5 linked regions of the Daphnia pulex genome follow. The protein of the gene in region 5 interacts with the protein of the main gene of each other region in a biochemical or structural test. Links are inferred from orthologs where the notes say so. Each region holds a gene or a part of one and is shown on either strand. Other genes may lie near its edges.

The links.
Region 1: the proteins of DNA repair protein RAD51 homolog A-like (region 5) and 26S proteasome complex subunit SEM1-like form a complex in vitro, tested with the Homo sapiens proteins (2 studies listed by BioGRID). The link is inferred for Daphnia pulex from reciprocal best matches to the Homo sapiens genes RAD51 and SEM1.
Region 2: the proteins of DNA repair protein RAD51 homolog A-like (region 5) and F-box DNA helicase 1-like form a complex in vitro, tested with the Homo sapiens proteins (2 studies listed by BioGRID, with this or other methods). The link is inferred for Daphnia pulex from reciprocal best matches to the Homo sapiens genes RAD51 and FBH1.
Region 3: the proteins of DNA repair protein RAD51 homolog A-like (region 5) and small ubiquitin-related modifier-like form a complex in vitro, tested with the Homo sapiens proteins (2 studies listed by BioGRID and IntAct). The link is inferred for Daphnia pulex from reciprocal best matches to the Homo sapiens genes RAD51 and SUMO1.
Region 4: the proteins of DNA repair protein RAD51 homolog A-like (region 5) and replication protein A 70 kDa DNA-binding subunit-like form a complex in vitro, tested with the Homo sapiens proteins (2 studies listed by BioGRID). The link is inferred for Daphnia pulex from reciprocal best matches to the Homo sapiens genes RAD51 and RPA1.

The regions. Positions count from the first base shown.
Region 1 is NC_060028.1:1,555,815-1,559,289, forward strand, and holds 26S proteasome complex subunit SEM1-like, read right to left. Parts: upstream 1,753-3,475; 5' UTR 1,640-1,752; coding exon 1,534-1,639; intron 1,431-1,533; coding exon 1,334-1,430; intron 1,262-1,333; coding exon 1,222-1,261; 3' UTR 1,143-1,221; downstream 1-1,142. Other genes in the region: uncharacterized protein LOC124209262, read right to left, coding at 1-24, 101-311, 382-482. UniProt on the Homo sapiens protein: Component of the 26S proteasome, a multiprotein complex involved in the ATP-dependent degradation of ubiquitinated proteins.
Region 2 is NC_060017.1:4,720,051-4,725,051, reverse strand, and holds the start of F-box DNA helicase 1-like, read left to right. Parts: upstream 1-1,698; 5' UTR 1,699-1,810; coding exon 1,811-1,930; intron 1,931-2,024; coding exon 2,025-2,152; intron 2,153-2,208; coding exon 2,209-2,425; intron 2,426-2,493; coding exon 2,494-2,567; intron 2,568-2,635; coding exon 2,636-2,801; intron 2,802-2,874; coding exon 2,875-3,336; intron 3,337-3,413; coding exon 3,414-3,666; intron 3,667-3,734; coding exon 3,735-3,793; intron 3,794-3,851; coding exon 3,852-4,124; intron 4,125-4,187; coding exon 4,188-4,245; intron 4,246-4,306; coding exon 4,307-4,501; intron 4,502-4,565; coding exon 4,566-5,001. UniProt on the Homo sapiens protein: 3'-5' DNA helicase and substrate-recognition component of the SCF(FBH1) E3 ubiquitin ligase complex that plays a key role in response to stalled/damaged replication forks.
Region 3 is NC_060017.1:276,489-280,041, reverse strand, and holds small ubiquitin-related modifier-like, read left to right. Parts: upstream 1-1,666; 5' UTR 1,667-1,819; coding exon 1,820-1,828; intron 1,829-2,037; coding exon 2,038-2,178; intron 2,179-2,239; coding exon 2,240-2,311; intron 2,312-2,386; coding exon 2,387-2,446; 3' UTR 2,447-2,594; downstream 2,595-3,553. Other genes in the region: serine protease inhibitor dipetalogastin-like, read left to right, coding at 2,746-2,770, 2,827-2,955, 3,025-3,177, 3,239-3,351. UniProt on the Homo sapiens protein: Ubiquitin-like protein that can be covalently attached to proteins as a monomer or a lysine-linked polymer.
Region 4 is NC_060017.1:3,018,974-3,023,779, forward strand, and holds replication protein A 70 kDa DNA-binding subunit-like, read right to left. Parts: upstream 3,433-4,806; 5' UTR 3,309-3,432; coding exon 3,264-3,308; intron 3,202-3,263; coding exon 3,151-3,201; intron 3,087-3,150; coding exon 2,832-3,086; intron 2,762-2,831; coding exon 2,547-2,761; intron 2,485-2,546; coding exon 2,322-2,484; intron 2,260-2,321; coding exon 2,155-2,259; intron 2,089-2,154; coding exon 1,989-2,088; intron 1,905-1,988; coding exon 1,792-1,904; intron 1,725-1,791; coding exon 1,590-1,724; intron 1,530-1,589; coding exon 1,266-1,529; intron 1,208-1,265; coding exon 1,124-1,207; intron 1,062-1,123; coding exon 992-1,061; intron 924-991; coding exon 799-923; intron 735-798; coding exon 627-734; 3' UTR 447-626; downstream 1-446. Other genes in the region: ubiquitin-conjugating enzyme E2 L3, read left to right, coding at 20-232; ankyrin repeat and MYND domain-containing protein 2-like, read left to right, coding at 3,737-3,919, 3,983-4,148, 4,217-4,356, 4,443-4,806. UniProt on the Homo sapiens protein: As part of the heterotrimeric replication protein A complex (RPA/RP-A), binds and stabilizes single-stranded DNA intermediates that form during DNA replication or upon DNA stress.
Region 5 is NC_060026.1:14,857,437-14,862,449, reverse strand, and holds DNA repair protein RAD51 homolog A-like, read right to left. Parts: upstream 3,135-5,013; 5' UTR 2,619-3,134; coding exon 2,526-2,618; intron 2,427-2,525; coding exon 2,289-2,426; intron 2,223-2,288; coding exon 2,013-2,222; intron 1,946-2,012; coding exon 1,695-1,945; intron 1,625-1,694; coding exon 1,537-1,624; intron 1,460-1,536; coding exon 1,338-1,459; intron 1,273-1,337; coding exon 1,149-1,272; 3' UTR 837-1,148; downstream 1-836. Other genes in the region: protein maelstrom homolog, read left to right, coding at 3,208-3,348, 3,426-3,627, 3,686-3,832, 3,897-4,036, 4,103-4,372, 4,441-4,632, 4,706-4,793, 4,870-5,013.

The sequences.
Region 1 (3,475 bases), on a different chromosome or scaffold from region 5:
ATTCAGACTAGCCATGTGCTTTAACTGAAAGGTCAAAAAAATTTTATTTTTAGTTTTATATTGAAATTTAAACTCTTAACATGTTTAAAATAGCATCTACCTTCACATGCCTGCGAATATTGAATCTTGAGTAGTTCGAGCAAGAGATGTACTTCGGAGAACCGTTGGTATTGTATGAAGGTAAACAGCCCAGTAAGCATTTAAAGTGAGACATGTCTTTTCCTGTGACAGGTCCAATATATTCAAACATTGTGCTGGGAACTACAACTGGTTTTTTATTACTGACAGTGTCCGCCAAGGTATCATCTTCACTAAAAAAAATATGGTTACAATTAAATGAAGTCCCTGTCTACTGCAAATTGCCATAAAGATATAACTTACAGTGGGATGGATGTATCACTACTGGTACTTTTAGGCCTTCCATCATCATCCATATTTTCTGATTGGAGTTCATTGGCAGTTGCAATGCAAGTCCCATCCATTGTCCTTTTAACACTAAAATATACTTATGTTGGATTGATTCACCATAATATTATGTTAATTGTTTACCCTTTTTCTCTAGCTATCGTAAAAAAATTGAAACCATTTAGGCCTTGGCAGTTTGTTTACACTTTTCAAATGCCGTCTTGGTCTAGTGAGGAAAACGGATAAAACTTCAATGTCTGTCTGCTAGCTACTAATCGTTAACGAACTTACGAAACAATCAATCGAACAGATTTGACTTTTGACATAATGACCACGTTATAATCATATAATCTAGTAATTACTGAATTGAATAAAATCTGTGAATCTGTGGTAATGTTAATTTTAAAATTAATAAATGAAAATAATTTTAAAAAATAAATCAGAACCCTAGCGGTTCCGGTTAGGACTGCGATAGGGCCAATCTGCTTTGAATGTTGTGAAACTGTTGATAATTAAAAAATAAATTTGGGTTTAAGAATGGTTCATTGGTATGGAATATGATGCTGGGGAGTCCCATTTTAAAGGAAGATATTGACAGATGGAACAACTTTATCTGGGACAGGTTTCAATCAGAAACTTATTAGAAAAATTTAGGAAGGATTCCATTATAACTTAAAAGGAACTAATTGACTGGCAAATCCAATTCTAGTACATTTCTAAAAGAAATGCCAAGATAATTAAATACAAAAGAGACAGTATTGTATTCAATTTTTAAGTGAACAGTGGTACAATAAAATGGGTGTGTTATTTTAATGATCACTGTTCCATTTTAATGCCTTGTTTCTCCAGAGCAGCCCTATGAAATAAATAAAAAGATTTTATGGTTATGCCAAATTAAGTCATTAATAATTTCTACTAGTATTCAAACCTCAATTGCTGGCTGAAATCATCTTCAACGTTGTCATCATCCCAGTTGTCTTCCCAGACATTGACATCGTCAGCATCTTCTTCTTTGCCAGTCCAATCTACAATATTCAATGGGTACATGTAACTATGAACATATATTTTAAGTATAGGCAATTAAGTTTAAAGGCAATTTCAAGTTCGCTAGGTAGTAAGAAATGTTACCATCAGCCGGAAACTCTTCGAATTCATCGTCTTCCTCGAGCAGACCTAAATCTACTTTTGGCTTTTCGGTGGTGGAGTCAGTTTTTTCAATCTTCACATCTGCCATGACTGAACTATTATTAAGAGATAGATTTGATTTTTAACAACTAACAGTGATTCACTGAAGTTCTGCTTCTAACTTGACGGTTCTGAGTCTGACTTCAAGCTGACTGATCGTAACTTCTGACTTGGCGTTTTCAAAAAGGCGTCTGCTGGGTTTGTTACATAATATTAACCACAGATGGCGGTGAACATCAGAAAAACCAGTCGAACGTTGCCGCGAATTTTAAAGTAAGGAAGGAATATAAATATAAAATTTAGAAACTCTTATCTTCATTTGCGCAAATTCAATTTGAATTGTCATAAGAAGAACTTTAAATGGATAAGCTTATTTGTAACGTAGGTCACACATGCATATCGATGAGGATAAACGATTCTATACAGATTCTTTTGCTTTATTATAATGCCTAGTTGTGCACCATTTGATTGTTTACACACGATTAATTTTTTGTTTGGAACTAAAGGAAACCAACATTTATTTTTAGATATGACGTAAAATTTCTGTGAACCTGTTTCAAAAGCGACTAAGAAATGGCCTTGGAAAGGGACATTGAGGTGTTATCTCTGATTTTATAGCAGGTTCCTCTGCATCTGCATTTCATTGTATTGAGCAGGATCGACCTCCAAGTTCACGTACGTAACTAATTGAGACGACCCCTCTGGACTGACGACTCTAGAATTCCAGCCGTTATTACATAAAAGTAGAAGGGCATATATGGGATACCGATGTAAGGAAGGGTTGGTTATCTAACGCCATATAAGTCTGAATAAAACATTTTCTGATGTAATGCAGTTGACAACAGGAATAGCTGCTTAATGTAAGACCAATAACCTACATTTCGGCCTGTTAAAAGTTGGTTAGGCTGCTGTTGCTAACCGTCGACTTTTAACAATTGAGCTTCTTTTTTTTTCATTTTGGTTCGGCCCAAGCAACTGGATTGACCACACCGAATTTACATTTCTATCAAACTGTTTTATGTTATTCCCGAGGTAAGAGAAAAAAGTACGCAATTCTATATTAGAAAAATGGAAATCCAACGACATTAGTCCGCCATTTATGAATTTTCATTTGAACATCGGATGATAGGCCTTCGTCTTATAATCGACGGTTTAATACTAATCGACTGCTTGTAATCCCTTGTATGTACACTGATATGAACTTTGGAATAATAATTTTAAATTATTTATAAGCTGTTGTCTTTCTCATGAATTTATAGACACAGCTCTACGTGGAATTCAAAACTTTTCGATTGAAAAACCTTTCACGGTTTCCTCCGATTCGCCCGTTCCAGTTCCTTCTCAACTGTGTGTTTGCTGTTTGACATCATTTGTCATTGAAGTTGTTTTTTAAGTCCCCTTAACAAGGTCCTCTTTTCTTTATGGAACCGCGCTCTTACAAAAGCAAACTAATTGCAAACTCGCTACTTCCAACATTCACCGTTGTTTTCGTAGAAAACTGACAATTAAAATTCGGAATAATTTCGCTTTATAAGCCACCGGTTTCACTTTGAAGACGCGTTCAGGCGACTTATTCTATGAGAATTTCAATTCTGTCAATCGCTAAGAAAACATTGGTATTTTAAAATAACTTCACTCAGCAAGATTATAAATCGGTTATAATAGACTTTCACAAAAATACCTTAAACGGTAAAGACCTGGCGCGGGTGACTGATGCAACGGGAAAGCTTGGAAAAGCCCACAGGGACTACTATAGGTAATTTATTTGATACATTTAATTGCGTCGAACATCTACGTATTTCATTGAAATAGATTAATGAATTGAAATTTCGAAAATTAAAACGAGGACAGCCCAAAAACTTCTTTTTTTGGTAAACCAGGTATA
Region 2 (5,001 bases), on a different chromosome or scaffold from region 5:
GAGCGCAACTCATCAATCCACAGACGACAACAAATGGCAATGTCAATTTCATGGTGATTGTGATTGAATCTTGAAAATAATAATTGAAAAAAAACTATTAGCACATAAGAAATAAAGGTACAACAAATCTATGGGTCTACCTTGGTGCACAGGTACTGCTGTGAATATCTAATTGAATCGACCGTCAAGATATTTGGGTTTTATAGTCGTCCGCACATGATGCTTTGCTAAGAGCTAGAGGCGGGGTTATTTCAAATTTTATAGAAGATCGATTAACGAAACATGGTTTAGAGGTAAAGAATCTTGTTTGCCACCAACCTTTGACTTTGAAACGGATCAAGTATTCGACTCCAAATCACGGAGACTAATCTTGCGGGTTTTTTTGTTTTTAGAATTATCTCTCAAAAATGGATGCCGTTCTGTGGCCATCACCGGCCATCACGTTTTCGTGCACGTATTTTACATTTTGTGCAGCTATTATATTGATATTATCGCAAAGAGCGTAAGCCTAGAAATTTGAAATCTCGTAGACTCAATCAACTTATTTGTTTAGTAGACGAAGGTCAAAGAGTGAACGGCTCACCTCGATTGCGTCAATTGTGATGGCTCGTACGATGTGACGTCCACCATCTGTCAACCGAGTTCACTTACTATAATCTAGGCTAAATATCAAACTGTAAAGATCGAGTAACAAGGTACACAAATGGCTCCATTTTGAAGGCCTTGTACATATCGGCTCCCGTTACTACCGCATACGTCAATATTCACAATACGTTTAAAACAACAATACCTCTGAGAAGATAATGCTGAAGTAACATATTGCGTTTCTATTAGCTTTATGGATAACGACGTATCCTGGCACTATTATTTATGGGAGGTGTCGTTGGTACTTAAAAAAACAAATCATTCAAGCTGATTTCAGCGAAAGAGGAAATCACTAACGTGTGGATGAGAATGCCTTTTCATCTACTGCATTATTAAGTTTGTTGACCTTCCATACAAGAGTGCAACTCGTCCAATCTATGAAGTAATGCCCAGTCCAAAATCATTAAAAATAAACTTTGTAGTGTGGGAAATAAAATCAACCTTGCATGGAACTTTGCCGCCTTATTGTGATAAGTGTTACTTATTAAACCATCAAATAAGCTTGAAAGCTTACGACCAAATATTACGAAACAAGTGCCCTTGTGGCTAACCCAAGTGCCATCTACGCTGATATAATGGAATGGAAATTAGATCCTTAATTGGTCAGCTAGGTCTTTATCTAAGCCATATCAATCATATTAAACGTTACCCATCGCATCATCACGTGATTGTATCTAGTGTCTAGTTTGTCAGTTGGTTCAGTTTTTTCCGCTTCTGTAACTCTCCTGAATAAACAAAATGAAATAATGCATTTGTATGAACCTTTCTCTTTAATAATGCTGCCCAGCTGGGGAAAAAAGACGTTTGGAGAAGAATATTCAAAAATAAACTCTCTAAAAACCGACACAATCAGTTTCACTTTTTTGGGCTTTTATTTTTATTCGAGTTTATTTTTTTTATCTCATGAATCTATTTCAGTATTTCTATACTAATTGAATCAAAATGAAATTAGCTTTGATTGATTAATTAACTGGTTTTTTCTTGTTTGAGTTGGATATTTAAAAAAAACTTCATATTTTGGACGCTAGATGGACGCTAGATTGTGCTATTGTTTTGGTTGAAAAACGTAAATACAACGCACCGGACGCGTTTACGAGTCCGTCTACACGTTGAAATTGTAACTCTGGTTGTAGTTCTGTACAAAATAGTATTTTCGAATTTTGAAATGAATAATCTTCCTGTTCAAGTGCTTGAAAATATTTTGGCCCACATACCTGTTATAGATCTTCATAAGTCATGTGTGCTTGTGTGCCAAAATTGGAGGGAAATCATTTGTCGACAGAAGGTAGGGTAGTATATGGCCGATATGGCATTCATTTTTGTTTGAAACCACTCTTTAAACAATAGAACATTGACATACTTTTGTTCTCCTATTTCAGTTTATACCTTGGAAAAAACTTTATCTTTCATACAGCTTGAATGTTGAGGAATCTACTGCTTTCCTGGACCAACTCTGTGATTCATACAACATTACGGGAGTGCAAAACTGTCTCCGTGGTTTGATTTTGTAAGACATATTTACCAAAAGTTTTATATTGTTAAGTATAAATAACTCTGTTTTAGCTATTTTTTGGAGTTCACTGGGTCTCCTGTGAATACCATGAGGTATTTGAAAAGTCATACCCGCTTCAGTTTAGCTGAAAGATTAGTGGTTGAGCAGTATAAAACTACTTCACTCTGGGGGATTACTGCTATGATTTGCATCTTCTCAAATGATACATGGGAAATGTATAGATTGTTTGATTTATTGACGCATTCTGAAAGTGATTTCACGACAATGGTAAATTCAATCTTCCATCATTAATTTAACCTGTTTTGCCTCCTCTAACACATATTCCTTGCATATAGGAGGTAATGGAGAAATTTTACTGTTTATGCACTTTGTTTCTCTACTTCCACAGAAAGTTTGGAATTCCAGCTAAGTATGCATTCTTTAATGTGTATTTGTGCTTTGTTCTTATAATCACAAGTTATTTTACTTATCTCAAAGGTTGCATTATAATTTGATATATGCCCTCAACTTGTTTGAGAATCGCTGGACGGGTGCCCCTATTAGTCAAGTGTCAAACCAGTCATCAAGCCAGCAAAAGTCTTCACCTCCTCCATTGACACACGAACAATCGCGTATTGTAAATCATCGCATCCAAAAAGATGATGTAAATTGCTTAAATTAATTATAGAGATTTTCTAAAAATTAAAACTTTGAATTTCTTTTCATGTTTGTTTTAGTTAATCAAGATCGTGGCGTTTGCTGGAAGCGGGAAAACTACTACTTTGCTACGTTTTACCGAAAATAATCCAGAAACCGAATTTCTGCTTATTGTGTTCAATAGAGCAGTGTCCGATGAAGCCGGCGGAAAATTTCCGAAAAACGTAAAATGCACGACGATTCATAAGTTGGCTCGTAACCACATCATTGCTACTGGCTTGATGAAGAATAAAGAAACGGGTAACATTTTCCCAACGAGTTTAGTTAAAAGCCATATACTTGAAAAGGATCGGCGAGGACTAAAAAGATATCAACGAGAGAAACTGGTTCTTGACACCCTTAATCGGTTTTGGGGTTCGGCTGATGATACAATAACTCCTGAACATGCTCCCACCAAAATCAGAAGCAAATCGTCATCTGAAGATAATGCCACAGGAGAAAATGTTGTTGAAGACAGAATTCTGACCCTCGATGAACGACAGGTGAGATTCAGCTAATTAATCTCTGTTTATTGCTTCTCTAAAAAACACCTGTTATTCCATTAATTGCCTCTTTTTAGAAATTAGCGGCCGACGCCCAAAAAGTCTGGTCTGTCATTAAGAATCCAAACGATAGGCGTCTGAAATTGCCGTGTGATGCATTCCTCAAACTTTGGCAGTTGGAAAAACCGAATTTATTCGAAACTGAAAAAGTTCACTGTGTGATGGTGGATGAAGGCCAAGATTTGAACGGAGCCATGCTCGATATATTTCTCAGCAACATAGGCAAACGCATTATCGTCGGAGATCCACATCAGCAGATCTATCGTTGGCGTAAGAATAGCATAAACTCAACGTTTATTTATTTGAGGTTGCCTAATAAGTTTCTTTCTTCAATCCAGGATATGCCGTGAATGCACTGAATAAAGTCCCTGCTACCCACACGTTTTACTTGACTCAAGTAACTTCATGAAACAAATCTCTATAGCTATATTGTCTAACTTTTTTCTTCTTCTTAGTCATTCCGATTTGGACCAGAAATTGGTTTCATGGCCAACTCCTGTCTATCCGTCTTGAATAATGTCAATGATAAATGCTTGGTAGGCATTGATGTGCACGATGCACTGGTATCGCTCAGCGATGCCAATGATCAACTAAACCACCAACTGCAAACTAACGGCAAGATTTGCTACCTGGCTAGGACCAACCTGGCACTTTTCAAGAAAGTCGTGGAAGTTATTGGTTGTGAATTTGGTAGCAGTTCCCAGAAGCCTAAAATCGCTTTTGCCGGAGTAACATCAACTTATTTTCAAGTTTGTGAGATGTAAATAATGAAAGAAAATTTCATTTTTTAGGGAATTAAGAACATGGGATTGGACCTTATAATGGACGTTTATTATCTTTGGAGAGGAGGTAGTTTCAATCTTAAAAATGCTAAATTATGCTGAATGAATATCAAACTTATTTTTTGCAGCCTACGACAAAATTACCAGTCCCTTTCTACGTAATCGGAAGTTATTTGAAAACTTCACCAGTTTCACCAAATACGTAGAAGCCACGATGGACCACGAGTGGGGAGCGAGAATAGCTCAAGTGACCTGGGCGAAAAGTAAAACGGAGACGTATGTCGATGCGATTCGAAAATCTCATGTCTACATTTCCGATGCAGGTATGGAACACGTGAGCTTCCATTAATTGACGTCTTAACAAATGATTATTACTTTTTTTTTCAGATGTCGTTTTCTCTACCGCTCACAAATCCAAGGGAATGGAGTGGGATACGGTCGTTTTGCTAGACGACTTCATTCCAACTCTTGCTTATGGTGAAGTAAGCGGCGAAGAGCAGGAAGAGCGGAACTTGCTGTACGTGGCTGTCACGCGGGCAAAACGGAAACTGATAATCAATCCAGCCTGCTACTACACTCTCTTGGCAGTTGGTGATCGTCGAGAGAAAATAGTCGATTCGGCCACTTACCTCGACGCTCATGGCCCGATTGCCATTTGTTTTCGCTGCCAAGAAGTTCTGCCAGGGCAGTGCAAAACTAAATCTGCATCGCTCGTTACAACTCCACTCAAGATAATGACCTTAAATAATGAACCAACTGTTGGAAATCGAAAGGAGGGCATCCTCTGTTCCCTATGTGCCGGACTAAATTATTACGCTTACCA
Region 3 (3,553 bases), on a different chromosome or scaffold from region 5:
TCTATTAGCCAAAGTAGATTCTCATCGTACGCAACCAAATAAATTACCGCCAAGTTTTTAAAATCCTATCAATCAAACAATACAAAAAATACGGTCTGTATTCGTTCCTGCGGCGAACGAAGATTAATTGAATTCCACGCCACATGTCTCACATAATAAGTTGCTCCTGCTGCGTGTGTCAACTGGATAATGCACCTTCTGCCTCCGTTCTATTTTTTTCTCATTCAAATGTGAATTGTACACTCGTTGCCAAAACAAATAATACATTAGATACACATTTGTATATGAATCACACGGCTAATACTTGAATCAATATGACACATGTTTCGTATCTTTTTTGACAATTTGACAATCGTGTGGCTTAGTGAGTTGTACTTTTTTCCTCTCTAGTTCTATATTGCATTATAGCATGGATGAAGTCAATACAGGAAACGAACAAGTTTTGACAAAGATTGATTGGCTTCCTCGTCTGACTGTTGTTCAACTACCGAAGGATCAGTGCAATGCTTAAAAAATATTTCTGTAAAGAAGAGGCATCATCTTGTATAATAAAATTTATCTTGTTGTAATAAAACCCCCAAACCGTCTCAAAGGTAAGGTTTTATTTCATACTAAAGCGCAATAATCTAGAACAAAATAATTTGTACAACAACGCATTAATAGCTATATGGAATTAATTAATAAAAATGGCAATAAATTCGACTCCTAAAATGAAAATGACGCTGTTGGAAATTTTTCGTTGGGTTAGCAACAAGTTTGACTACTAAAAAAAATTGCTCGAATTCCAGTGGAAGGTTTACAGAATCAAACCAAAATTTAACATTCATTCAAAAATATCTAATAAAATAGTCTTCTATAATTTCGGTTTGCTGTACTCCATAAGACACAACTTGTCAGTAAGCAAGAAATTTTCTTAAAATTCCCCTGGAATAGGATGCTATTGGTCGATTAATACTGGTGTGTCGCTCATTCAAAAGAACGAAGTCAGCAAACAGAAAAAAATCCGACGATGCGAAACTGTAACTGTAACAACACAAATTATTTACTACCTACAGATGTCGCAACAATGTTCCTTTTTTTATTACGACAGCATTATCAATTCGTACAGGGAAAACCAGCAGTCGTCCCGCCATTTAATAATTCAAGTCATCAACTCACCAAATTCGATTCTAGTTTGCTAACTGATTATTGGAGTAACTCGTTTCTATGCTGCGGTTGGCATTTACAATCTCAGCAAAAATTTTTATGGAGTGAGTGCTATGGACGTAGTGACGGCTGTAAACCTATTAATTCATGAAACATTAATATGATGTATGATTATCAAATTAAATTAAGGGACATCAACTGCACGCACACGTTGCTAATAATCATCCATAACGATTGCTAACTGTGTAATAATTGCTTAAGCAGCCAAAATGTAGTCGAAGAAGATCTCAATTTATATTTTTATTGAATCAAGCCATTGGATATCATCAGTCTTAATTTTAAATATTATCAATCCCAAATTACATATTGTGCAATTGTTTCAAGCAAAATATTCTTCAAAGCAGCAAAAAATTTAAAAAAAATCCTACAAATTTTATTAATATATTCCAATTTATTTAAAAAAAGTTTTTTAATTTAAAAAAATGTACTCATTTCATACGTGGCCGGCCGTTGTTAAAATAAGTTTTTAGTGCAGTGCCGGCATCCAGACGTATATAGCTGGTGCGGCAACGTTTATTCTCGGCGCTTTTTTGGCCCACGCCATTATTCATTATTCTTCAATAGAGTCGTCTCAAACGTGCTGCTAGTTTTAGAAAAAGAACTTGTTTTAACCATGGCTGATGTAAGCACGTAACTATCTATGTTACTTTTTAAGTATTGCTAAATTTACCCCATTCGTTTCTTTTTCCATAAAATTTGTTTTCACGTGTTGTCTTTGCTGGATAGTCGATTTTTTTTTAGTTCTGATCATGTGTTCGATATTTTAACTGTTTGCCTTTGCATTACCCTATACCAATTTGGCTAACTGTGGTTTCTATTTTTAATATACAGGATCAGAAACCTGATGCCGGTGATGCAGGATCAGAGTACATCAAATTGAAAGTTGTTGGCCAGGATTCAAATGAAATTCACTTTCGAGTAAAGATGACGACACAGATGGGCAAACTCAAGAAGTCTTATAGTGAAAGAGTGGTAAGGGTTTTTCCTGTCATTTTTTTTTTCACTTATTGATAAAGATTTTCTTTGTGTTCAGGGTGTGCCAGTTACTTCGCTGAGGTTTTTGTTTGATGGAAGGCGAATTAATGATGATGAAACCCCTAAACAGGTATGTTGTGTCTAATGCACTTAGCTGATGTGTTAAATGATATGCAAGTAATGAATTTCTGTACTGCTGTTCTAGTTGGAAATGGAGAATGATGATGTCATTGAGGTTTATCAGGAACAAACTGGTGGCAATTAATTTAAGAACCTCGATGCATTCATGGAAAACTTTCCACATTTTCTGGACAAAACTGTCTTTTAATTTCCAATGTTGTCATCAAAATATCGCCCTGCTTTCTGTTCTTCATTTCCAATCGAATAAATAAAACCATTTTCGTAACCGAGAATGATCCTTTCGTTAACTTATGGGCACTCTGCCACTTGTTTCTATCAACTTGTATTGCTATGAATATTGACATCAAAGTTCAAGGATGAAAGGTCTTGACTTCCATTTCTTGCTTTTGATCGCAAAGTGCGTACAAACCTTTTCGAGAGAGGATGCATTGCACAACGCTGTTGCTTGGTAAAAATAAATTGTCAATCAAGAATTTATAATATACTTTATTTTGTGTTGTTCAGTTGTACTAGTAGTAGGTGCAACAAGTTGTAAAATTCCCAAAAGTTATAAACCACTTTGTGGGGTTAACGGGATTTCCTACACGAATCTGAAGGCTTTACAGTGCCATAATAAGGCTAGCCCTGGAAACAGTAGGCTATTTGAAATATTCTTTTTTAGGAAATGGTTCCATCCGTGTTGAATTTGTTTGGTTTTCTCAGTGATTCGAATAGCTTATAAAGGACGCTGTCTTCGACCTGATATTCGTGAATGTAACTATTCTTCAGTCGTGAAAAATGTCTGCGGCAACGACGGGCTTACCTATCTGAATCCCGCAATGGTTGCATGCAAGAACAAATTACAGCCTAAAAAACGTATATTTTTATATCATACATAATTAAACGATGCACAGTTGATATTTTTATGACATTTTAGAGGTGAAGATTATTAGCAAGGGCAAATGTAAAAGTAAAACAAACGCTCGAAGAAGAAAAGTGCCAAATAAAACAGTGAGACCCGGAAACGTCACGGGACCAAAGCAGAAATAGGATTACTCCCCCAAAACCTCACTTCGTTCGTTATAACTTGTATCATGCCAAATTAGACTCTAAACTCTCAAAGTCAATATATGTCAATAAACATGACCAACTTCTGTTTAAAATAAACGGCTGGGTTCTGACAAGAGATCCGTGTTACTAATGTGTCAACTATGCCACAATGCCGGCTCGTCATTCAATTTTCTCGTGCCAT
Region 4 (4,806 bases), on a different chromosome or scaffold from region 5:
GTGTGTTTATTTCTTTCAGGTCTGTTTGCCCATAATAAGTGCTGAAAACTGGAAGCCTGCCACCAAAACTGATCAAGTGATACAAGCGCTGGTTGCCTTGGTTAATGATCCAGAGCCTGAACATCCACTTAGGGCTGATCTTGCTGAAGAGTATTCCAAAGACAAAAAGAAATTCATGAAGAATGCAGAAGAGTTTACAAAAAAAAACAGTGAGAAGAGACCAAGTGATTAAATGTTTTCTGTTTTCATCATAAACACTTGAGAAGAGGCAGAGTTAAAATTTTGAACTGGTCCCCCCTCTTTCCCTCTTCACTTCATTGTAGAGCAGTGAGAGCTGCACTGTGATCTTCATTTATTTTCATTTCTATCTTTGCCTCTCTTGATGGTTGAAATATTTCATTGCACATGAGCTGCGAAAAACAATACATTTGCAGTTGTCTGAAAAATTATTTTTTGTAATATCCATGTTTATTTTGCAAATCATTTATTATCATGTTACACACACGGTTTTTCCGGGATCTCGATTTGATTCACAAGAACAGGAATTCATAAAGAATTGTTCCTGTATAATCCGAAAATGAAGGTTTTTTATAAGTTTAATAGATAAGGAGCAAGGGAAAATCCATTCATTCTGATGCAGCCATTTCTTTCATTTCTCGAATCAATCGCTCGTTGTGCTCTTTATAGTTGATTTCCTTCACTTCATAGACATTTGTTTTGAGGCGGCTTTCATCCTAAAGAAAAGGTAAAAGCGTCAACAGATAACAAGATCGAAATTCATAATGCTCATAGACTTACATTGTACGTCTCCATTTTCACTCTCAGGCGGAAGACATACCACTTAAAAGTAGCTTCTTCGAAAATTTTCTGAAATTCGTTATTATCCGAATCCTTCAATCTACCGACCTCGTCTGCGGATTTCCCTAAAATTTATAATCAAATAAATAAATATTATATGCTAAACGTAACATTAGTTCGAAAACAAAATTACCAAGAAGAGTTTCAGCGGTTTCTTGGAAGCAGGTTACCCATTGCTGGTCCGTGGCATCCGCGATATTGACCTATAACAAATTTCGAGTGCTGTTTTGAGAGAAATAGATTTCATAAAATATCTTTGTCATACCGAAAGCATCATGCGCCATTTGAATTCCTGGAATTCGCGCTGGCATTTCTCACATCGATAGAGGCCATTGTTTTGATCGATGACCTGCGGGAAACGCAAATATTGTCAAAAATGAGTTGTTTTATTATATATTTATGTTTACCTTTTTGTTGCATTCATCACTGGGACAAGCCATGTACAACGCTCTTTCTTTGTTGATCATAGCAACCATAGCCTTAACACTGTAGAAATCAGGTTTATCTTTTCCCAGGTTTTCGAATTTTGCTTCAGCGAAAGTCTTATACGACCCACCACTACCACCAGTGCCAGCGCCACGACTCGCCGAAATGCTAGAAGCGGCCGATGATGAGCCACCGTTATCGTACCACCCTCTTAGTTTGTGAGCTTCATTCATGTCAGGATTGATCTATTAAAAATATGCGCTGTAGAATAGTAGAGAAATAGAAAGTCTTACATTTGATTTTACCTGCACGACAGTAGACGAGACTGTTCCTAGAGAACGACCTCCAAAATCAGAAAGTTTCACTCCTTTTAATGCTACAACAGGCTGGGAGCTAGCGTCAAATTCCTCGCCCATTTTTCCCCATAAAGTCAAATTAACCTGATGTTTGAAGACAAGAATGATTAATTAACTGGGCTCGACAATTAAACGAAGAATCCAGTCATACCTCTGTGTTGGTACTGTCCACCATCTGAACTTCTCGCATCCTCAATTCTTTATTTGTCGTTTTGGAAACGATAACGCGGACGTCATTTGCTGACTTAACCACACCAATGACATCTGAAAGCACGGTCAATCGGTCATATCGTAGGCACCATTCAAATAGAAGAATTGTAATGTTAATGCACCTAAAAGACAACTTACCAATAACACTGTCCTTGTCCAGGCTAGGTAGCTGATCAATGGGAACAAAGTTGAAGGAGATTGATGGGATATCTGATGTATCATCGTGGCAAGGAATTACCTAAAAAATAAGTAAAAGAAAAAAAAATTGAGGCTGGTACGATTGACGATTGAAAAACATTCATACTGTAGTATTTTGGTTGAACGACATTTCATAATCGTTCCTCATACTGCTGTACTGTTTGTTTGCTGCCTTCAGTTGTGCTTGTGAAATGTAAAAGATCTTGCCGATCTACAACGAAAAATAACAATGTAAATAAATAACTTCAAACACTGTTTTTGAATTAAATGTACCTCAATCATGTGGTAAAACTTGTCACACTCGGCATTGAATGCAGTGGCACGGATTTCACCAGTCTCATCCACCATGTCCATCGAGAAAAGCTTTCCTTCACCTCGAGAATTGCTCCACGTACGGATATCGGACTTGTTTATAATTCTCACTTTTACAGTCCACCTACAAACAAGCAAAGTTAATGATTCAATTTTTCTTGTACTGAAATTTCTCAACAAACATACTTGTTTTGGTAGGGTGTAAGGCTTACAATCGGATGGGTAATAATGTCAGACTTCTCTGTTGGCTGTCCATATCCACCAGTTTTGTTAGGTGGTGCAGACTTCGATCCCATATTGTAATTGTTCACATTTCCTAAAGGTGCAGGTTTTGCTGCTGCCTCTTCAGTAACCTCTCCAACATCATTAAGAGTCTGAGGGTTTCCTATTTTTTCTCCAACCTAAACAAAAAATGTTCAAAATGAAGAGATATCCTTATTTGTATTTCGAAACTAAGTAAAGTGAACATACTTCACTTCCAGGCACAATTGGCTCAACATCCAAAAGAATGATAATTTTCTTTTGGTCCTTGCCTGCAGTTGCCTTAGTAGCAACTTTGTTAACAACAAACTTTTTTACTCTAATGATGGTAAAGTTCTCAAGCTGACCATCCACAATCAGATGATTTAGTTGTGTTGCCAACATTCCATATGCATAGGAATACTTTCCATCAGAGATGAGAATTCTGTAACGGTCATTATTGTCTCCCTGAAGATTTTTGTAACCCTATTGTAAGAGAAGAAAATGTAAAAATGCTGCAAATGAAGAAAAAATCTTGCTCGTTGCTTACCAAAACTTGTAGAATTGGAGTTTCATTGTGCAGGCCATTCCCAATGATGGACTATGTCGAAATAAAGATATTTATAGTTTTATTCAAAAATTCGAAATTATGATTGATATTACCGGAATTGCGCCGCTGGTTAGTGCTGGGTGATTTCTTCTGTTCATTTTACGGAACCTTTTTTAACGGGGATTACTTCGTTCAGTCAACGTGCTTGAATTTTTTTAAGCAGTTTTTACGGACAAGACGACGAAGTGCGATGGCGGGAAAACAACAGTGGTACAAACGAAACCAAGGCTGAACGTGCAGCGTTGAATGTTTAAGAAACTTTTTAACTCAATGAAGACCACTAAAAATATAAAGAAGAAAAATAATGAAAAAGTTTTTTTTCTGAAATAAAGGTTCATACGAAGCAAAAATAAGTTTTCGTTTTATTCGCATTTTTGGCGTTGTTGGATTTTTTGTTTTTCGAAATGTCCGGTTGTTATAGCAACAGTTGCAGACGACAACGGAAACTATATCGTTATATGAAAATTTGTGACTGAATTATTTGATTTCCTTCAAAAACGAGTTAATTGCCAAAGAATCTCGAAAAATGATTTCGGAAAACTTTATTAAAGCTATTGACAAGATTAACAACAATGATACTAGTGGTTTGCAAGAACTTATAAAATCCCGGGACGTTGAAATTGACGATGAGGATGAGCATGGAATGACATTACTGCAACATGCCGCTTTTAAAGGGAAAAAAGATATTTGCCAGTTGCTCCTTGACCTGGTAAGTCTAACTATATTATCAATGTTGTTAATTTGATTGAAAAGTTGACTTTTTTTCTCGAAGGGAGCTGATGCCAATGGAGGTCATCATGAACACAAGTATACTTCCCTTCATTTTGCAGCTCTGTCTGGAAATTTGGATATTTGTCAACAATTACTTCAGTGTGGTTGTAAACCTGATGTGGTTAACTCAGTAGGCAGAACTGCAGCTCAAATGGCTGCATTTGTAGGTAGGCTAGTCAATCATAATGTTTGTACAAATCATCCAAAACTAAAATGAATTATTTTGGCAAACCAGGGAATCACACAGTTGTTTCCATCATCAACAATTTCATTCCACGCTCAGAAATAGAGCAGTACACTGTAGCTCCTAGCGATCAAACTGAGCCAAAATTGCCACCAGCTGCTGCACCAGCTTTGCACAAATTTGTGATGCAGGTTGTGCACTTGAATAGACACATCACTTCATTTCTTATTCTGCCACGGAAAAGCACTTGAACTTTTTGTTTTGTTTGATTTATCAGGTCAATCTGCATCCAGTTCACCTTTTGTTGACTATTCAAAAACTTCCTTTGCTTTACGATAACCTCACAAAAGTGAAAAACGTCTTGGAGATACTTAGCGAAAATCAGATGAAGCGCAGCCAAGAAGTCAACGAGATCCTCGCACTTAAATACCACTATTTGCGTTTCCTAGTCGAAAGAATGGCCAAAGAGCAGCAGCAGCACCCCGACAAAACCGTTTTGGAGTTATTAAATCAATATGTTAAAGCATTTTTGAAGCAACGTCAATCCGATGGTTTTCCCGAGTTTATGGACAACTTCATCCGCGAGTCGATCCGCACTTTCCCTTTCAAGGAGACGACCATCTTCCGCCAGTTGCTGGTCA
Region 5 (5,013 bases):
TTTTTCCAAATTTTCGACATTGCGTAAGCAAGTGTGTCGGGTTCCCGATTTCGAAGTCCAGCGTCGTGTAGACTTTGATAAATCAGAAATGTCATCCAATATTCCCGCCAAGGTTTTATAAACAGAACATACTCCGAGTATACAAACAGATGATTCTCGATTCTTTCAAACAAGATAATATACCAACACCAATAAAATATACAAATATAAAATGTATAAAATATTACATTCAGTAACTTTAGATTAATCTCAAGCGCTCACACATTTTAAATTTAAATCAATTTTGTACAGAACGTTCTTTGATCCGATACTCACCAACCGCCCAGCGCTGCATTTTCGATAGCAGTTTGATCTTGTCGCACAATTCGCCGGCCTATTTTTAAAAACAAACGGCCCACAGCATTCTCCACTCTTTTCCTCAGTCGGTTAGAGATGGCCAATTTAAAGTGGCAGTTTTATTTTATTCTATTTCTTTTAAATATTTTAAAATGATGGGAAAATCCAAACATAAATACATGTTCGAAAATGATACTCACGAGTCTTTGATACTGTGGTTTGATATGAATTTTATCTTCCGTCGCCACTCGCCAGCGTTGTAAACATTTCGTCAAAACTGCGCACGTCGCACTTGAATGTCATGTCGAGGTTACAAGTGAAAAGTCAGCAAGTCTTGCCATTGATTTTCTAAAACAGACTGACCCCAATATGCTAGTTTAAGAAACAGTCGAGTTTGAATATTATCTGCGCGTCTACTATAAAATTTAATTCGTTCAAATACGACCGATTGCCGTTTTAAATCTGTTACGGGCTAATTCCTACAAGAAATAAGTCCTAAATTGAGAAAAAAAAATATTTGTATTCAAATTCAAGCAGTAATTGCCACTGATAATCTCAGAACAATGTTGAACAGAATGCGAACAGGGTAGATTGCGTAAGATATTTTAAAGTTACAAGTAAACCATACAGTTACATGTACACTGACGTTTTTTTTCGATTTCCCACCTACTTATAAACACAAGACAAATTCATATTTCTGGGGCGATGGTGAATCGAAACTTTTTAAACAACTAAAAACGGAGAATTCATAAAAGGGTTTACAAGAAAGGGGGTAATAACCTGTAGCGGAGGACGGTCCCTTCTGTGGCAGTTTACTCTTTGCTGTCTCCAATGCCATCGGGCAAAATTGCGAACATGGCTTCAGACTCTGGCAAGCAGGGTGAGTCGTAGATTTTGCAAATTCGGGTTTCTCCACGACCTTTGCGCAAGTAAAGTCTACAGAAAGGAAAGTTGTTACTGTCAGGGCAAAGGGATGCAAATAACAACAAGTGAAAACTTACCGAGTAGTAGACGCGTGAGCCATGATGTTTCCACCGATGGGTTTCTTTGGGTCAGCGGCGAACATTGCAGCACCATCGACTTGAGCAACTACTTGATTGGTTATAACCACTGCCACGCCAAACTTTAAAAACACATAAAAAACCAAATGTGATTTAAGAAAATTTGAATGGTTATTTACGACGTCTAGTATACACGTACTTCATCTGCAAGTCGAAGGAGCATGCGCAAAAAACGAGCGAGATGCATTTGGCGAGCGGAAAGTTCTCCTCTTCCCGAGTAGTCGGTCCTAGGAAGATAAAAGAATGTTTGCATGCCATACATGTCTTTGAAGAAAGAAAGATCCTTTTGAGGATTACCTGTAAAGAGCTGTGGCGGAATCGACAATGAGAAGAGCGTAACGAGAATCGGCCATCATGGCAGAGGCTTGGATCAGAAGCTGTGACTGGTGATCAGTATTGAAAGCTCTGGCGCAAGCTACATTATCCAAAACATCTGAGCCAGATAAGCCATATCGTTCAGCTACAGCCAACAAACGCTCCGGACGAAAGGTTCCTTCAGTGTCGATGTACAAGCACTTTCCTTCAGCTCCTCCACTGTCAATGGGCAACTAAAAAGTTAAAATGGATAAAAACTTATTAGAATTTGAATTGGTGAACTTCTGAAATATCTATTACTTGACAGGTGACTGCAAGAGTTAGGCACAATTGAGTTTTTCCAGTACGAAACTCTCCAAATATTTCTGTGATACTCCCTGTTTCTATGCCACCCCCAAGCAATTTGTCAAGCTCTTTGGATCCTGTAGTAACCTGAACGAGCTCTGCACGCTTTTGATGATACTCTGTGGCAGTAGAAAAACCCATGGGAACCATTTTTTGAGCTTCGGCCTGAGAGTTGTGAGGATGGAAACATTAACAAGAGCTAATGGATAATTACATGAAATATTTTTTTACAATGATTTTATCAGCCTTGGCCTCGCTGACTCCTTTGATGGTCATGAGTGTCTTTTTAGGGACATAGGCTACTGATTCAACTGTGTGATACCCCGCTTCTTGCAGTTTCTTGATATCTGCACCACTAATTCCATTGCCCTGGAAGTATTGAAAATTGAAATGAATTGTTATGTGTTTACTAATTAAACAATGAGTTTGCATTTATAAATTGAGTGTCTGTTGTTTCAACATTCTTACTTCAAGTTTACTGATTGCTGAAAAAACAGTTTGTTCGAGAGCTTCGACGACATTTTCTTCTTCTTCATTAAGATTTCGAAGTGCAGTAGCCATCGTACTGATTAATAGCTTATGATAAGCTAATGATTAAAGAAATCACTGTTGCAAAGCAGAATATGTCAATGAAAAACAATTGTGTGATTCAGCTTCTCGACTCAATTAATCAGTTTCGGAAGAGTTTCAGTTTCAATCAGTCTCAGCTATCAAAACGAAGTGATCACATGTGAAACGTTCACACAACGAAACATTCGAGCGGCAAAAACAAATAGTGCCTGTATTTAAAAATCAACCTTGCCAGATTTGTTTCAAATGAGCGTGCTAATGGACAAAAAGTTTTCCCATTTTTGTAATATCTGGTAATATATGGAAGAGGAATATACTTGATTAAAATTTTAAAATAAAAAATTATTTTATGTTTTATTATTTAACATGATTTAGTTTTATAATCTTTAAATCTAATTGGTGATTGCGGGGTTAAAATAAAGCGCTTACGTCAGAATCCCAGAGCAGAATACCTGGTAGGTCAGGCGGGAAACCTGATGGGAGAGCATCTACTTTTTCGCGGCTGAACTCTTGACGACTCGACTTTCGACTAATATTCGACTAATTCCCACATTACATATTCGTTTTTTAAATAAGTGAAATGCCCCCGAAGAAGAAACAAAAAAAAGATAATGGTTTCATGGTATTCATGAAATCTATGAAACCACAATTAGAAGCCAAGGGACATAAGTTTCCTAGAGGCTTGACTGACGTTATTCCGGTGTGCTCTCCGTTATGGAATGTAAGGAATTTGTGTTGTTAATACGTCATTCTGTTAACATTAATATTAATGAAAGTGAAACTTAATTAAATTCACAGAAATTGTCACCTGAAGAAAAGGCAAGCTACCATAAAAAAGCTAAAGATGGTGGTGGTACTACTTTTATCAAAGAAGAAAGATGTGATACTCGGGGAGTTCCATTAAATTGGAAGGAAAAAGAAGAGCAAAAGAAAATATCGGAAAAAGACCATCTTCTGCAGAAAGTAGAAGATATGATTTCATACTTTGCTACTCAAGGAAGTACGCTTTCATCCGAAAATGCCTTTTTCCCGTCACATTCAATATTTACAATTTCTAGCTCTCGAGAATCACTACTTTTATCTGGCACATTTCAACATTGCTGTCGCTACCAGTGAGGGAGAGTACCCTCCATGTGAAATCGCTATAGTGAAGTTTTCGCTTCTGGATGGGATAGCTAAGTGTTACCATGACTTTGTAGAACCTGGTATTTTCATCTACCAAATTTACTTGGGTATCAAGCTTTACACCATTGTTTTATGAATTCACAGGTCAAATCCGACTGGGGTATGCCCACGAAGCCAAGCTACACTCTGAAAACACACACAATATCCCAACATTTGGATTCAAACTAGCCAATTCAGATTATGTTAACATTACGAATAACATCAAGGAAATGCTCAAACAACCAGTAAACTTCCCTTTAATTAAGGAGTTTAGTAAATAATTTTATTAACAAAAATTTACATAATCCTAGGATGGCGGGATTGCTCCTTTATTCGTGGTCGACGAAGACAACGCGAAAGCGATTTATATAGTGGACTGGTTAGTCAAAAAGAGTTGCCAACTGGACGATTCGTACGAGACGTGCAGCCCGTTCAAGATCTACAGTTTGAACAAACTCTTTTACGAGTTGCGTCGCCAGGCCGACGTGAACAATTCGACGTTGAAATTTTCCAGCATTGCGCTAGTGGCCGAACACTTTGGCAAAGGAATGTTTTTCTACAGCAAAAATATGGCCTGCCAGGTATAAATTTCCAATGGCTAATAATAATCCCTTTGACCTAAAATAATTTGAATTACGTCATTGCACAGTGGCATGTGGAAGAAGACAATGTAACGTTTTGTTCGCTAACGCGGGTGCGCAACTACGCCTACACGATTTCCGACTTGTGCTGCGAGTACTATGACTTGTCTCTGCTGCCTAATCGCCACTGCCCTTCTGAAATTGCTGATGACAACAAATATGTCGTAATGCCCAAAGTGACTGAAACGGAAGAACCGGAGGTAATTTCATCCCATGAAAATTTGCATGAGAGTTGAAAGGAAAGGCTAATGTGTGATCTTTCCGGCCCTTTAGGCACCGGTTGAAGTGAAGAAGAAGAAGGAGGAGGAGGAAGATGACAGAGAACCATCCGGTCCACCACGATTGCCCAACACTCCTGCCAGTAAATCAATTTTTAATTGTTGTTGCATCTATAAATGGCCATGTTCAGAGATATTTCCTTTACCCGTTCACTCTAGCTGCCAATTTCAAGGGTCCTGGAACAGGGCGTGGCGTTTTGGGCGGATCGATGGGCCCTGTTTCGTCCGCCACTCAATCGCCAGGTCGATCGCGAGCAATTGAAACGGCACCCCCAGCTGGAAGAGGTCGCGGCCGCGGACTTC